Caenorhabditis elegans: one gene and its partner. The protein of the gene in region 2 interacts with the protein of the main gene of each other region in a pairwise test. Each region holds a gene or a part of one and is shown on either strand. Other genes may lie near its edges.

The links. The genes of interacting proteins can lie anywhere in the genome.
Region 1: the proteins of rsd-6 (region 2) and rsd-2 interact in a two-hybrid assay, tested with the Caenorhabditis elegans proteins (one study listed by BioGRID).

What each region holds. Positions count from the first base shown.
Region 1 is NC_003282.8:13,537,261-13,542,272, reverse strand, and holds the start of rsd-2 (RSD-2 domain-containing protein), read left to right. Parts: upstream 1-2,007; coding exon 2,008-2,126; intron 2,127-2,614; coding exon 2,615-2,911; intron 2,912-2,958; coding exon 2,959-3,096; intron 3,097-3,598; coding exon 3,599-3,733; intron 3,734-4,590; coding exon 4,591-4,723; intron 4,724-4,778; coding exon 4,779-4,921; intron 4,922-5,012.
Region 2 is NC_003279.8:8,357,826-8,365,376, reverse strand, and holds rsd-6 (Tudor domain-containing protein), read left to right. Parts: upstream 1-1,518; 5' UTR 1,519-1,535; coding exon 1,536-1,633; intron 1,634-2,052; coding exon 2,053-2,342; intron 2,343-2,424; coding exon 2,425-2,602; intron 2,603-3,014; coding exon 3,015-3,160; intron 3,161-3,392; coding exon 3,393-3,744; intron 3,745-3,789; coding exon 3,790-3,889; intron 3,890-4,200; coding exon 4,201-4,453; intron 4,454-5,155; coding exon 5,156-5,357; intron 5,358-5,627; coding exon 5,628-5,769; intron 5,770-5,819; coding exon 5,820-6,044; intron 6,045-6,569; coding exon 6,570-6,653; 3' UTR 6,654-7,123; downstream 7,124-7,551. Other genes in the region: tbcd-1 (Tubulin-specific chaperone D), read left to right, coding at 1-106, 157-435, 614-901, 959-1,153; tba-5 (Tubulin alpha chain), read right to left, coding at 7,549-7,551.

The DNA.
Region 1 (5,012 bases), on a different chromosome or scaffold from region 2:
AAAAACTGTTGCACAAATTCCACAGTTTTAGGGAATTTTGTGACAAGTGAGAACATGGACCGACATCTACCGGGTTTCTTGTCGTTTCGAATATAGATTACTTTTATTTTTAGCTTAAACTTGTGAAAAAACAAAAACAGTTTGCCCGTCGTTTGGTGTCAGGCTGTTGCGAAATCAGTTGAGAACTCTGCGTCTCTTCACCCGCATTTTTTTAGATCTACGTAGATCAAGCCGAAGTGAGACACTCTAACACCACGTGCGGTCACAGCTTGAAGGTACCGTGAGCAACTGGAAAAACATTGCACTATACCCCTCTTATTGCTTGGCCTAAAAAATTACATATCAAACTCCTCCTCCTCCTGGGAGGACACCTATTTCTCTGCGTCTCTCACCGTCTTTTGACTTGCAGCATTATTCATTTCCTGCCCGTGATTATTTCCATTTCCTCTTCTTTTCCGTGTCTCCATTTTTTGGAATATTATCTATTTTCATTCGATTTCCAACGTTTCCAAAAAGTTAGGTTTTGCTACTTGCTGAATTCATTTCAGCTGAATATTGCTGAATATTCAGCTGAATATTAAATTTGGTAATTTTCCCGAAAATAGGCTGTAACCTATAGAAGTAACTTTAATAGGATTCCAAACTCTCTTTGATAATGGAAGAATGACCGGAAAACCCTCGTTTAGCTGTTGATTTAAAATTCTAAAGATTTAAGAGTTTTTGGACGATTTTTTTCAAAATTAAAATTGCCGATTTATGTTTGTTCATGTTAAAAGTTATAGATAGATTTAAAAAAAACTCTTTTTTGGCTACAGTAACTTCTTCAATCAGAACTTGTGGCAACAAGCCTTCCAAGTAGGCAAGAAAATTCCTGCCTACTTCATGCCTACATGCCTACTGTCAAGCTATAAAAAACATGGTACAAACTGTAGGCAGGCGTGGTGTGGCTACGTAGGTATGAGAATGTGTCTATCGTAGAGGAACCGATCAATTAGCCTAGTGTGATATAAGATTAGTATTTCAAAAAAAATGTATTGGATTTCTTTATTTTTTTGTATTTATGGTGTTTTTGCCATTTTAGTGCTCGGTAACTTGTAACGAGCGCAATAAAAAATTACATTATCAGGTTCAGGCCTAAGGTCATCTGTCGTAAATCATGACAACAGAGCAAACGACCAGTTGTCTATTTCTCTATTCTCTCTCTTTTCTCTCTCTTTTATTCGATTTGAAAGTTGCTTTTTTTTTTGGTTTTTTTTTCGTTTTTTCGTAGAAAGTTTGGCACTTCTTAACGCCTCAAAAATTAATATTTAGATCAGATAATAATCTTTCATAACTGGACAGGTGTCTGAGGTATTACGAAAATTTGAAAAAAAAAACATTCTACGCGACCTATTTTTTTTTCTAATTTATAGGTTGTTCTATGGTAGACAGGCAAGTTCTGATGCCTACACCATGCCTGAATGTAGGTCTACGTGCCTACCTCACGCCTACCGGTACGCCTACCTGCCTGCCTACTCACCTTACGCAAAAAAGAAAAATACAAAAATATCCCATACCTCACGCCTGCTTGCATACGTGGTTACACTTTTGCCTGATTTCCGGTGTTTCTTTTAGTTTACCAGTAGGCATGTAGGCAGGCATTTTGTGGAAGGTTTCGGGTTCAAAAATTGTGTTGTTTTTTATTTCTAAAAATTTGTTTTTCTCGCCGGTAACCTGTTTCTCACACTTTGATCTTTTTTTTTTGTTTTTTTTTGTTTTTTCTTTGCACACAGTCAGAATGTCTTATTTCGGTTTGATCTTCAAAAAATGCGGGAGGTGAGACGCAGACGTCTCATCTGATTTCGCATGGATGAGAACGTGCTGACGTCACAACTTTTCTGGAAAAATATTCCCACATTTTTTGTAGATGAAACTGTAACGAGACAGTCTGACACCACTTGCTTGAATCTCTCGTCCCCCCGTCATTCTAACGCTATTTTTTCAAATTTTTTGTAATATCTCAGCATAATGTCCTCCTGCCGAGTACTCATCCTGCACCATGATCAAGAAAATGACGTCTTTGGCTGTTTTAAAAGGGAGAGCCACGAGTTCTTTTGGGCTCGCATCGAAGGGCAGCAACAATTGGAGTAAGTTGAACACACCTTTATGAGTGGAGATAGAAGAATGGCCGTGAAAAAACTCTAACACGGCCATGTGTCGATTTACGCAGCGAGTGTTCTCCTCGAGGAGAAGGTTTTACAGATTTTGAGTGGAAATTGTCGAGTTTGAATTTTTTTTAAATTAAACACTTTTTAAAATTATTAATTTATTTCGTAAACGTAGGCAAGTTGTTGCCCACTTCTGGGAAAAATTTAAATTTTAATTATTTTAGGTTGTTAAACGCGCTCTATTGATGAACCGTTGTGTACTCCATTTTTTCGCGTTTTTCTTACACTTTAAATTGAAAAAAAAAGATAAATAAAATATTAATCAGCAATTTAAATCTGAAATTTAAAACAATTTATCGGAAATGATCTACAATCAAGAATTTTACTGCAAAAATTAACAGTTCTCCACGAGGAGTACACATACAGCGTAAATCGACACATGGCCGTGCACTTTTATCATTTTTCAGGCCCCGGCCAGGTTTTTTCCTGACCTTCATCGAAAATGAGGTGATGACAGAAGATGGGGTAATGAAAATTGATGCCAGCACCTCAACCATCAAAGAACCTGAACCGGCAGATTGTGTAATCCTACCCACTCATACAAATGAACAGGTCGTATATTACAAGAGCTGGATAGCTTTCGGTGACAATCCGAACTATCTCACCTATAACAGAGATCTGGGGTACGCGGATTGGTATGGAATCGTTGATTGTTCGGATTCTCCACCTACCGGACCAGGAGTTTATAAAGCGTTCATTTATGTGTACGTTTTCAGGGGTTATCATCCAAAAAGTCGATCATTAATTGCAGAAATGACCTAAACTACCAAGAAAGCGGAAATCCACTTTTCAAAGTGACCGGGCGACTCAAATTTTTGGCAAACAAAGACACATCTGACACCATGATGAAACTGGAAATTTTCGAGCAAAACAGACTTGAAGAATTAAGGTAATTTTGATAGACTTTCGTGAATTTATCTGAATTCTAGACCTGAAAATGTTAATAAAAATTTCATGTGGGCTACAGTAGTTGTCCGTGACTTTGCGTCACAGTGTTTGCACACGATGATTTGTTTTTGTTTTTTTTGCCTTTTCAGATTGTTCTCATCTTGAAAGATGTTTTTTTAATATTTTAAACGCATTTTTCAAATGAGAAATCTGATTTTTCAACAAAAAATGCTGTATATTACTGATTTTACCATCCTAAACTCGTCAAATTTGATGAAAAATCGAGTATTTTCAAAAAAATTTGGTTTTGAAGGCGTTTTTCGGCGCAAAAAGCGGAATATTTCGTATTTAGAGTTAAAATATTTATATTTTTCTTTTTTTCGAGACGCAGACGACCACAGCCTTGAATTTTCCACGCGCATCCCCTTCACACACACACATAAACTTCAGTTTTTCTCGCGAAAAGTGCCTCAAGATTCGCTTTAAAATATGGAAATTAACAGGTTATCACCGAAAAAGATGAGCGATTCACAAGTGATCGCAATTATTCTATTTGACAACGAGGAGACAAATTCTGCGATCTGTTATTCTGAACAATTGGAATCTTCAATAAAAGTTCATCTTCCAGTCGGCTCTCCGTAAGATTTTATGTATTTCTAATCGAAAAATCGTGTTTTAAATCATTTTTTACAGTAAAAAACTGGAAAACTCGAATATCCGGGGTTTTTTGGCGAAATTTTGCCAAAATTGCCAATTTTGAAGCATTTTTCTGTGAAGTTTGCGTTTTTTATATGACGTTTTCACAGAGAAAATGGTTTTGAATTTAAATATTCTGCTATCTCTTAATTTTCCCTAAAAAATCAAGTTTTTTCATGAGAAATCGGGAAAATTTGAGTCTCAAGGGAAAAATCTCGGAAAAAGAGCGTTTTAAATTGAAAACGAGCAATTTTTACTGAAAAATCGGGATTTTCAGTTAAAAATTACAATTTCGAGCAAAATTACTCAGTTTCCGCCGATTTTTCCGGGGTTTTTTCTTTTTTACCACTTAAAAAGTGGTTTTGAGCTGTTCGTGAGCTTTCTCCAATTTTAAAGCATTTTTCTGTGAAATTTGCGCTTTTTAAGACTTTTTCACAGAAAAATAGGTTTTAAATTCAAATATTCGGCTATTTCTAAATTTTCCGTCAAAAAAATCAAGTTTTTAGGTGAGAAATTGCTGAAAACGGGATTTTTTTGTAAAAGATCTCAGAAAAAATGTTTTAAATTGGAAAAGAGCAATTTTTCGAGCGTATTTCAGAAAAATCGGAATTTTTCGTTTATTTAGTCCAGGAAATCCAATTTTTGCGTTATTTGATGTAAAAAATAGCATTTTCGAGCAAAATTATCAAATTTCCCATGATTTTTCTCGAATTTTCACACGAAAACCTCGAATTTTAGGTTTTTACCACTCAAAATACCGTTTTGAACTGTTCCTCAGTTTTAATTTCCAAATTTTCAGAGCAAAAGCCGGTCAACTCATACTTTTCACCGAGTACAACTACGAAAATGATACATATTTCCCTGATCCCCGGCCGGATGCTATAGAATACAGAGAATGTGAGATGACGAGAATTGAAAATGGCGAATTATTGGTTAGCTTTCTTCTTTTTTTTCGATATTCAGCAATATAAAATGGTATATTTTCAGATCTCTGCAAAAGCGGCATGTTCATCGATTGAAACTCACATTACTTATCCTCAGAGTGTTGCATTTGCTGATACATTTGGAAAAGTTAATGTTGCAGCAGAATCGATGGAACGAGGTGTCACGTATAGAGTGGAGTTGGCAATGTGTGTATTTTTATCGAAATTGGTGGAGCGAAATCTCCTGAAAAAACGGCTAAATTTGGCTGAAAATCACCCTCACAAAAAAACTTAAATT
Region 2 (7,551 bases):
TTTGGTTGATGCGAAAACGGAGCCACCATTCCTAGATGAACATGTCATCAAATCTGCAAAATATATGGTTCAACAGAGTGCAGAACGAATTTCACGAACTAGAGAGGTACGGCTGCCTTAAAGTTTAGAATATCCACAAAATTTGCTCATTTTCAGTGTGCCTGTGCCTGCCTGAAATCGCTCGTCAAATGCGAAATAACGGGTCGCTGTCTTCCACATATTGATCTTCTCATGAACATTTATTCAGAGCCAATGGATTTTATATCCGATCGAACTGTTTTTCAGTTGAAACCTCTTTTAGATCTTGGATCCGAGTATTATGAACAATTAATATTGGGTATTGTTGTATCAGCAGGTGGATTGGCAGAAGGAACTCAGAAAACTGCAAAGCAATTGCTTTTAGATCATCAAAGAGAAATTTGTGAGAATAAACCGGTGAGTTTTTGTGAAAATAAATAAATCTCTAACATTTCAAAGATGCAACAAAATTTTATGTGATTTTAGAAACTCGTTTGTTTTTATTCACATTGGCAGAGTTTTTTCTGAGTTATCTCAAATTTTGTCTAAACAATTTTTAATGATAATTTAGTTAACTCTATTCGTATTAATTCAGAGATTCGATCATTTTCTATCGACATGTGCTGATCTTTTTCAACGAGCTCGTAAAGTGAACCGAATTGGGAACAGTTTCATGCAAATTCTACCACAAATATTTGGAAATCTTGGAATTTATGAACAATGTCCAGAAACGTCTGAATCAATTATTGAGATGGTGGATACAATGAAAACAATCGCAGTTAGATCATCAATGATGTCACGTCAGAGGCTATCGATTGATTCACTTGGAGAATTGTTGAATTGTGGGAAGAAAAGTACAGTATACAGATCTGCATTAACTATGGTATGTGACAGAAGTCGAGGTTTTTGTCGAACTATAACCCATAATTTCTTTTTTCAGATCCTTGACACTCTTAACAGCCAACAACCAGTTCTTCGTAAATCTGCCGCCGAGAGACTCTACGAGCATCTTTGCTGTGCCGAGGAATCAGATGATGAAGTATTAGAGGTTCTTGCTACAACAAATTGGCAGGATGAAAATGATAATGTACTGAAACAGGCAGTCGCTGGAATTTCAGAAAAATTGATATTTTAATTGTGATCCTATAACGCTTGTTGACATATTTTTCAATTTTATCGCTTCGTCTAGTTTATCTTTTTACTTTTTAATTTTATTCAAATTTTTGATATTTTACCACTCAGAATTTGATACTTCACAGTGATTCGCGTTTCGTCTTCGCCAATTTACAACTGACAGGACAGACACAAAAATCATTCATTGCGTGTTATTTATGCGGCATTTTGGCTCTTATTATCTATTGATCTCATTTTGTGTTCAAACCCAATGAAATATATATATTGCTTGTTTAATTCATAATTTTTTGTTTGTCTAAGAACTGTTTGCAACAGATTCATTATATATTTTTTTTTCATTAATGTTTCCAAAGGACACTTTTTCAGCAGGTTTCTAACTCGACATGAATGAAAAAGAGCTGGCGGATTCTGTTTTTGGAGGTCTCATGGCTAAGGCCATGGGAAAGATGGTACATGAGAGCGAAATCTGCCCTCTTGTCGAGTATGATTTTATTTTTTTTAAATTATTCCGATGCAAAATATTTTGAAAAATGTGCTCTAAAAATACGATTACCTGTCCCGACGCGATCGATTTTATTCAAATATTTTCTAATTACAAAAGAGTGTGCGGCTGTCACTCAAATAAAAGTTTTTTTGGATTCAAAACTTTGGAACAAAAAATAATTTTTTAAAAATTTATCGCTTCTGAACTTGGGCCAATTTTATTTTTGTTTTTCTGTCAGAAAGAACAAAACAGGATATCCCTGTTGATAACGTCAATACTGCTCTTTTGCATAATGAAAAGCAATCGTGTCGAGACCTCGGTCCGTATTTTTAAGACGAAAATCACAAAATTTCCGCATCTGGATAATACCAAAGTTATTGAATCTTTTCTGCAGAAAGGAAATTTGGAATTTTCAGCCAAATCGAAGGAAAAGGTCAAACAAACGAAGAACTGCAAGGATTGAGATTGAGTCTCAGTGATTTGCTCTTACGTCATCCCGATAAGTTCATAAATTGTGGAAATAGAAATTGGAGACTTAATCAAAACAATCATGCTTTCCAACAGTTAGCCGAATCGATTAGTGATAAGAAATCGGGAAAAGGTGGAAAACGTTCGGCGAGAGGTGGATCAAATCTTCCAAGTTTCAATCGAGCACGTAGTGGTGGAATTCCAAGAAATCACAATCAAACGCATGGATTTAGACAAAGTTAGCATTATCCTTAACGGTTTTTTGCAATTATTTTCGGAATAATTATTCTTAATCTATTTGAAATAATGAACTTTTTTAGGTGCACCGGCTCACCGTGGTCATCATCGTCCACCAGCAGGCAATCATGGATCATCATTCCGTCCAAATCTGAATATTTCACAACCTAATCCATCAAATGATTATTCGAAAATGACAGGCCTTCATTATCCTGTTTCCAGAAACGTGCTGGCGTCGAACAACGGCTCGAATAGCAGATTGTAAGCTTTTTTACTGTGGCGGCTCCAGAACTAGCGATCAGAGAATTTTGCAAAGCCGCGGTGCTGTTTTCTTCAGAATTTTATTTTGAAAATCTGTTATTTTCCAGGCGTTTTCTACCTTTTTGTATTTTTTCCTAACGCAGAGAAATTAATTTTTCCAAACGGATTTCCGTATTTTTCGCGTTTTTGGCAAAAAAATTCTTGAAAAAAACGAAAAATTCTTGAAAACTGGCGAACTGACCCCTTAATAAGGATATATATTTCAAAAAAATAAAAATATATATAAATTAAATCTGTACCCCTTCAGAGGTGTTCAAAAATTATCTAAAAAATTCACGTAGTGTCCGTTCTTCTGAAAATTGACTGAGCGTTTCAAAACTCTTCTTATTCGATAAATTTCACAATTTATCAGCTCAAACCAACCACCTCGACGAGAAGATCATCATGAGAAGATGATCATGAGGACACCATATAGAGACCCTTCTCCACGACGCGGAAACAATTATGGAGACATAAGAGGACGTCCAGACTCTCGTGATGGATATAATGGTGATAGAGGTTGGATATTTATTTATTAAATTGTTAACCGAAAAATGATTTCAGTTTTATTTATAATGTTTTCATATCTTCTTAAAATATTTTTAAAAGTGTATTTTACTGAAAATCATAAAAGTCTTCAAACATTTTGTTCATGTCAAAAAATTTATGAAAAATTGAAAAATCCGCAGAAATGGAAGTCTAAAATTACGATACTATTTAAAGGCGCACACTTTTTATTTTAATTTTCCAGATTCGACTCGTTACTCTTCGCCACGCCGCAATGAGCAACCAGGAAGACCGTCTTCTCGTGGATCGAATATTTCCGATTACTCACAATTCTCCAGTGACACAAATGCAGAATCAAATACAGAACGACGTTCTCGTCCAGATGCTTCATCACCTGATCTTGCTGATCTTGCTCGGAGATTCAATTCGTCGTCTATCAATGTACAACCACAACCATTGGAATCAGTAGCCTCTAGTGATGTTTTATCAAAGAAGATTGCAAAGGCCGTTCGGAAGATCATGAAAAAACTAAACGAAGGCGAAAAATTGTCACTGGAAAATTTATTCGACGAAATAGAAAGGAAGAACAAAATTTTGTAAGATTTTTTTGAAATCAACAGATAATAATAAATTTCTTGTAGAATACCTGGAAAGAACGGTAAGGAGAAGGAAGACTTCTTGAAGGATCTCAAGAAAATAATGCCTAAATTGCTTTCCGCTTTGACTATTGACACTGAAACCGTAAGTTTTTCAACGGCTAGCATGAAATTCTAAAAAACTTGATTAAGATCCGAACGAAAATTAGCGTAAAGTGGAAAAATTGCTTAAAAAAATTTTTTTCGTACGAAAATAATAAAATGTGTAGGGCTTTTTGTATAGGGCTTAGGGCGTCTGTTTATAAATTTTACGTTTTTCCAAAAATTCGACAAAAATAAGATTTTCCGAGAAATAGCTCAACATTTTTTAAAAGATTTACATTAAGCGTTACTATTAATGAAAACTCTGGAAACTTTTGGAAATTAATATGATTTTCCAATATAAATATATTTCAGGGCGACCTGACTTGGAACGAGGCAGCAGTTACCACAGATTCACCAATTCATGAATATATGGAAGATGACCTTCATTATTATGTTGTTGATTACGTCAAAATGTTGGATAAGGCTCGATTTAGAGTCACTGATGAAGCTGAAAGATTGTCGAATGCTACTGGAGTCAGAATGGAACGTACTTGTGAAAAACTGACATATGTATTATTCATCACATTCGAAGGAGAATATCGTTATGCGTCGGGGAGTAAGACTGGTAATTCAATTTTATTATTACGAAAACATTAAATTCTGCGAATGCGTATTGCACAGTGTATCTGACGCGCAAAATATCTCGTAGCGAAAACTACAGTAATTATTAAAAATTACTACTGTAGCACGGATGTCGATTTACATGTTCGAAAGTGAATACCGTATTTCCTCTATTAGTCTTGCATGCAAGACTAATTTTCAATCAACCCGTAGGGGTGCAGGACTATTAGAGGCTGCAAGACTAATTTTCGAAAGCCCAATAACTTTGGAAAAGTTACCAAGTTTTGCTGAAAACTTAACTTTATACCGTTTAAGCCATGAATAAGCATTCCTTTTCAATATTTCATAAGTTATTTAATCACTTTCAAGTTCAATTTATCTAAAAATAAAAAATTTTTGAAGTTTCCTCATAGTATAGCTGGCCAGGATAAAACTGGGGTTCAAGACTAATAGAGAAAATACGGTATCTTTTCGAATTGTGACAGCGAAATTTTATTCTCCTGTAATGTTTGTAGTTTTTTGTCAACTGGAGGCTGTTTTAAAATGTTTCATCAATAAATGATAAAAACAATACAAAATCGGACCAGCGCTTCAGTAATCACCTGAAGGATTACTGTAGTTTACGCTACGAGATATTTTGCGCGATACGCATTTTCAGAATTCAGTGTTCCCGTATATGCAAATATCTAAAGAAATTAATTTTCAGAAGTGCTCAAGATTTCAAAAATCACAACTGTCGGCGATGCACCTGAATTCTATCAAACTTCTTTTGAACATAAAATCTTTGAAAATGTACCGGCAAATGCACTTGTCAAGTGTGGAATTGTTCGATATCAAAATGTTCAAAAGTTTGCAGTCCGTCCTGAGGAGTATATAAAACCATATGAAAAGATGAATCAAGAGATTCAGTGAGTTTTACTCTTACTCTTCAAGTACATTATTTTCTGATTAAAACGTTGCTCAACTGTGACTCCCTGAAATTTCGATCGAAAATATTAAAATTAATTGATTTCGCTACTTTCAAGTTATTCCGAGTCGCTCCAAAACTGGACATTCTCAGACTTTTGATGATGTTCAGGAATGGGCTCATATATGTATTTAAAATCATCGAAAATCTACGAAAATCCACTCTTGGAACATCTCTACTTTTAATCAGAATTCAATATTTTTAATTTCAGAGACTTCATGTCTCAAATTCGAAATGAAAAGAGCGTGCCATTTGAAATGTGGAGACCAAATCATGCGTGTTTAGTACAATTGAATGATTCAACAACTATTCTCAAATGGAGTCGTGCCATGATCATAAAAATAGAGACGCAGGTAATAAATAGATTGTATAGGTTTCGATTTTCTCATCCGTTTACTTTCAGCTCATTTTTCTGTTCATTCTGGACAGTGGATTCCGAAAAGTTGTACCAAGTTCCGATTTGAGATTAATGCCGCAAAAGTTTGCAAAACTACCACCATTTGCAATTCCTTGCACTCTCGATGAATCAGAGGATGACAAGGATAATATTGAATTTGGTGGAAAGGAATATTTATCCAATGGTCCTGGAAATCTCAGTGTTACTTGCAGCGGAGCCGCAACAGCCTCTGTAAGGGTTTTTAATCATTTAGGTGTACCATTATTTTTAATAAAATTTCCGTTAAGTTGCCAAAATTTAATTGAGACGTTGGGATTTAGCTTTAAATGAAAGAAAAACAACTTTAATTTTTTGGAAGTACTCCATTAAAAAACAATTTTTTTTCAATTTTGCTAAAATGGAAGAATGTGCCAATTATTGTTCAACTCCGGCGCAAATAAATAAAAAAAAACCTAATTTTGGCTTTTTTGCGTTTTCTGACTAATTCAAAAATAGGCTTAATCGATAGTTTTTTCCTGTAAATTTGAAAAACGGTGTTACAAATTAAATATCGGAGAAAATGTCTAGAATCCCCGATGAATCTATCTAGAAAACGCAAAAATCTCAAAATTAGAGCACTAAAGATTATAATTTTTTACACAATTATATTTTGTCATTACAGTACATTTTCCATCAATTAAAGCAATCCCCACTAGACTGTATACTCCACGTTTGAAACTTTCAAAGAATGGAAAAAATAAATTTTTAAAATTTCAGGACGGGATCCTCACATATCCAATAAAGTTATTCTCTACATGCCACGGTGGACCCTTGACGAATATCAAAGACGTCTTTATCTGAACTTCAAATCATGTTTCTATCTAAATGTTGTCGTAGAAACGGACCGAAACACTCATTTCACAAATTTCTTTACTTTTTTGCCGAAACGATGTTTCAAGACTTCGAGATTTTTTTTGTTTTATGCCCGTTTTCTACTGTTGTGGTGTTATGTACGATCATCTATGATTCCTGTCAAAAATGCAGAATTCCCCCATTTTTTCCCAACTAACGTTTTTCTATTTGTTTTGATCCCATACTTTTCCTTATAGTAGTTTGGAATGTATATCCGAATTTCAGAAATTCCGTCTAAAAGCTGCAACGTTTCTGCCCATCGCTCAACTTGCTTTCTGTTCACCCTTTCACTCTCAAAGGACATTTCGAAACTCCATACCGTTATTCCTTTTCTTAACCCCCTTCTCACACAAATGCTGAGCCCATTGTTCTGACCGTTTTTTCTTCAATTCTTGGAAGTATAAACTTTTTGAGTATTTATTCACATCAAACAATATACATGAGATAACATAAGTAAGAAATATAGAGGTTCTGAGATCAGGTTAAATCGGTAAATCTAGACAAAAATGTAAAGTTCATAATTTCGCAGTTTTCTGAAACGCGTATTTAGAGGCGCACGGATATATTCGGAAAGGTCTGGCCACGAGAAAAGTTAGGAAAGTCCGACTAAAAAACGTTCAGTTCCCGTTTATTCATTTTCCTGTAGTACGTTTCTATAAATATCTCATGTCCAACGTTTTTGTTTTTTGAAAAACGGCCCCGAAAAGATCGAAAAATACAACTATAAACTCTTGTTTCGCGGCGAGATCCATCCAAATGAACCCTTGTGCCTTTAAGAAGGTTTCTCAGAAAATTGCGAAAAATATAATGAATAAAATTGTCTGTCTTAAAATGTTTGAATATCCTA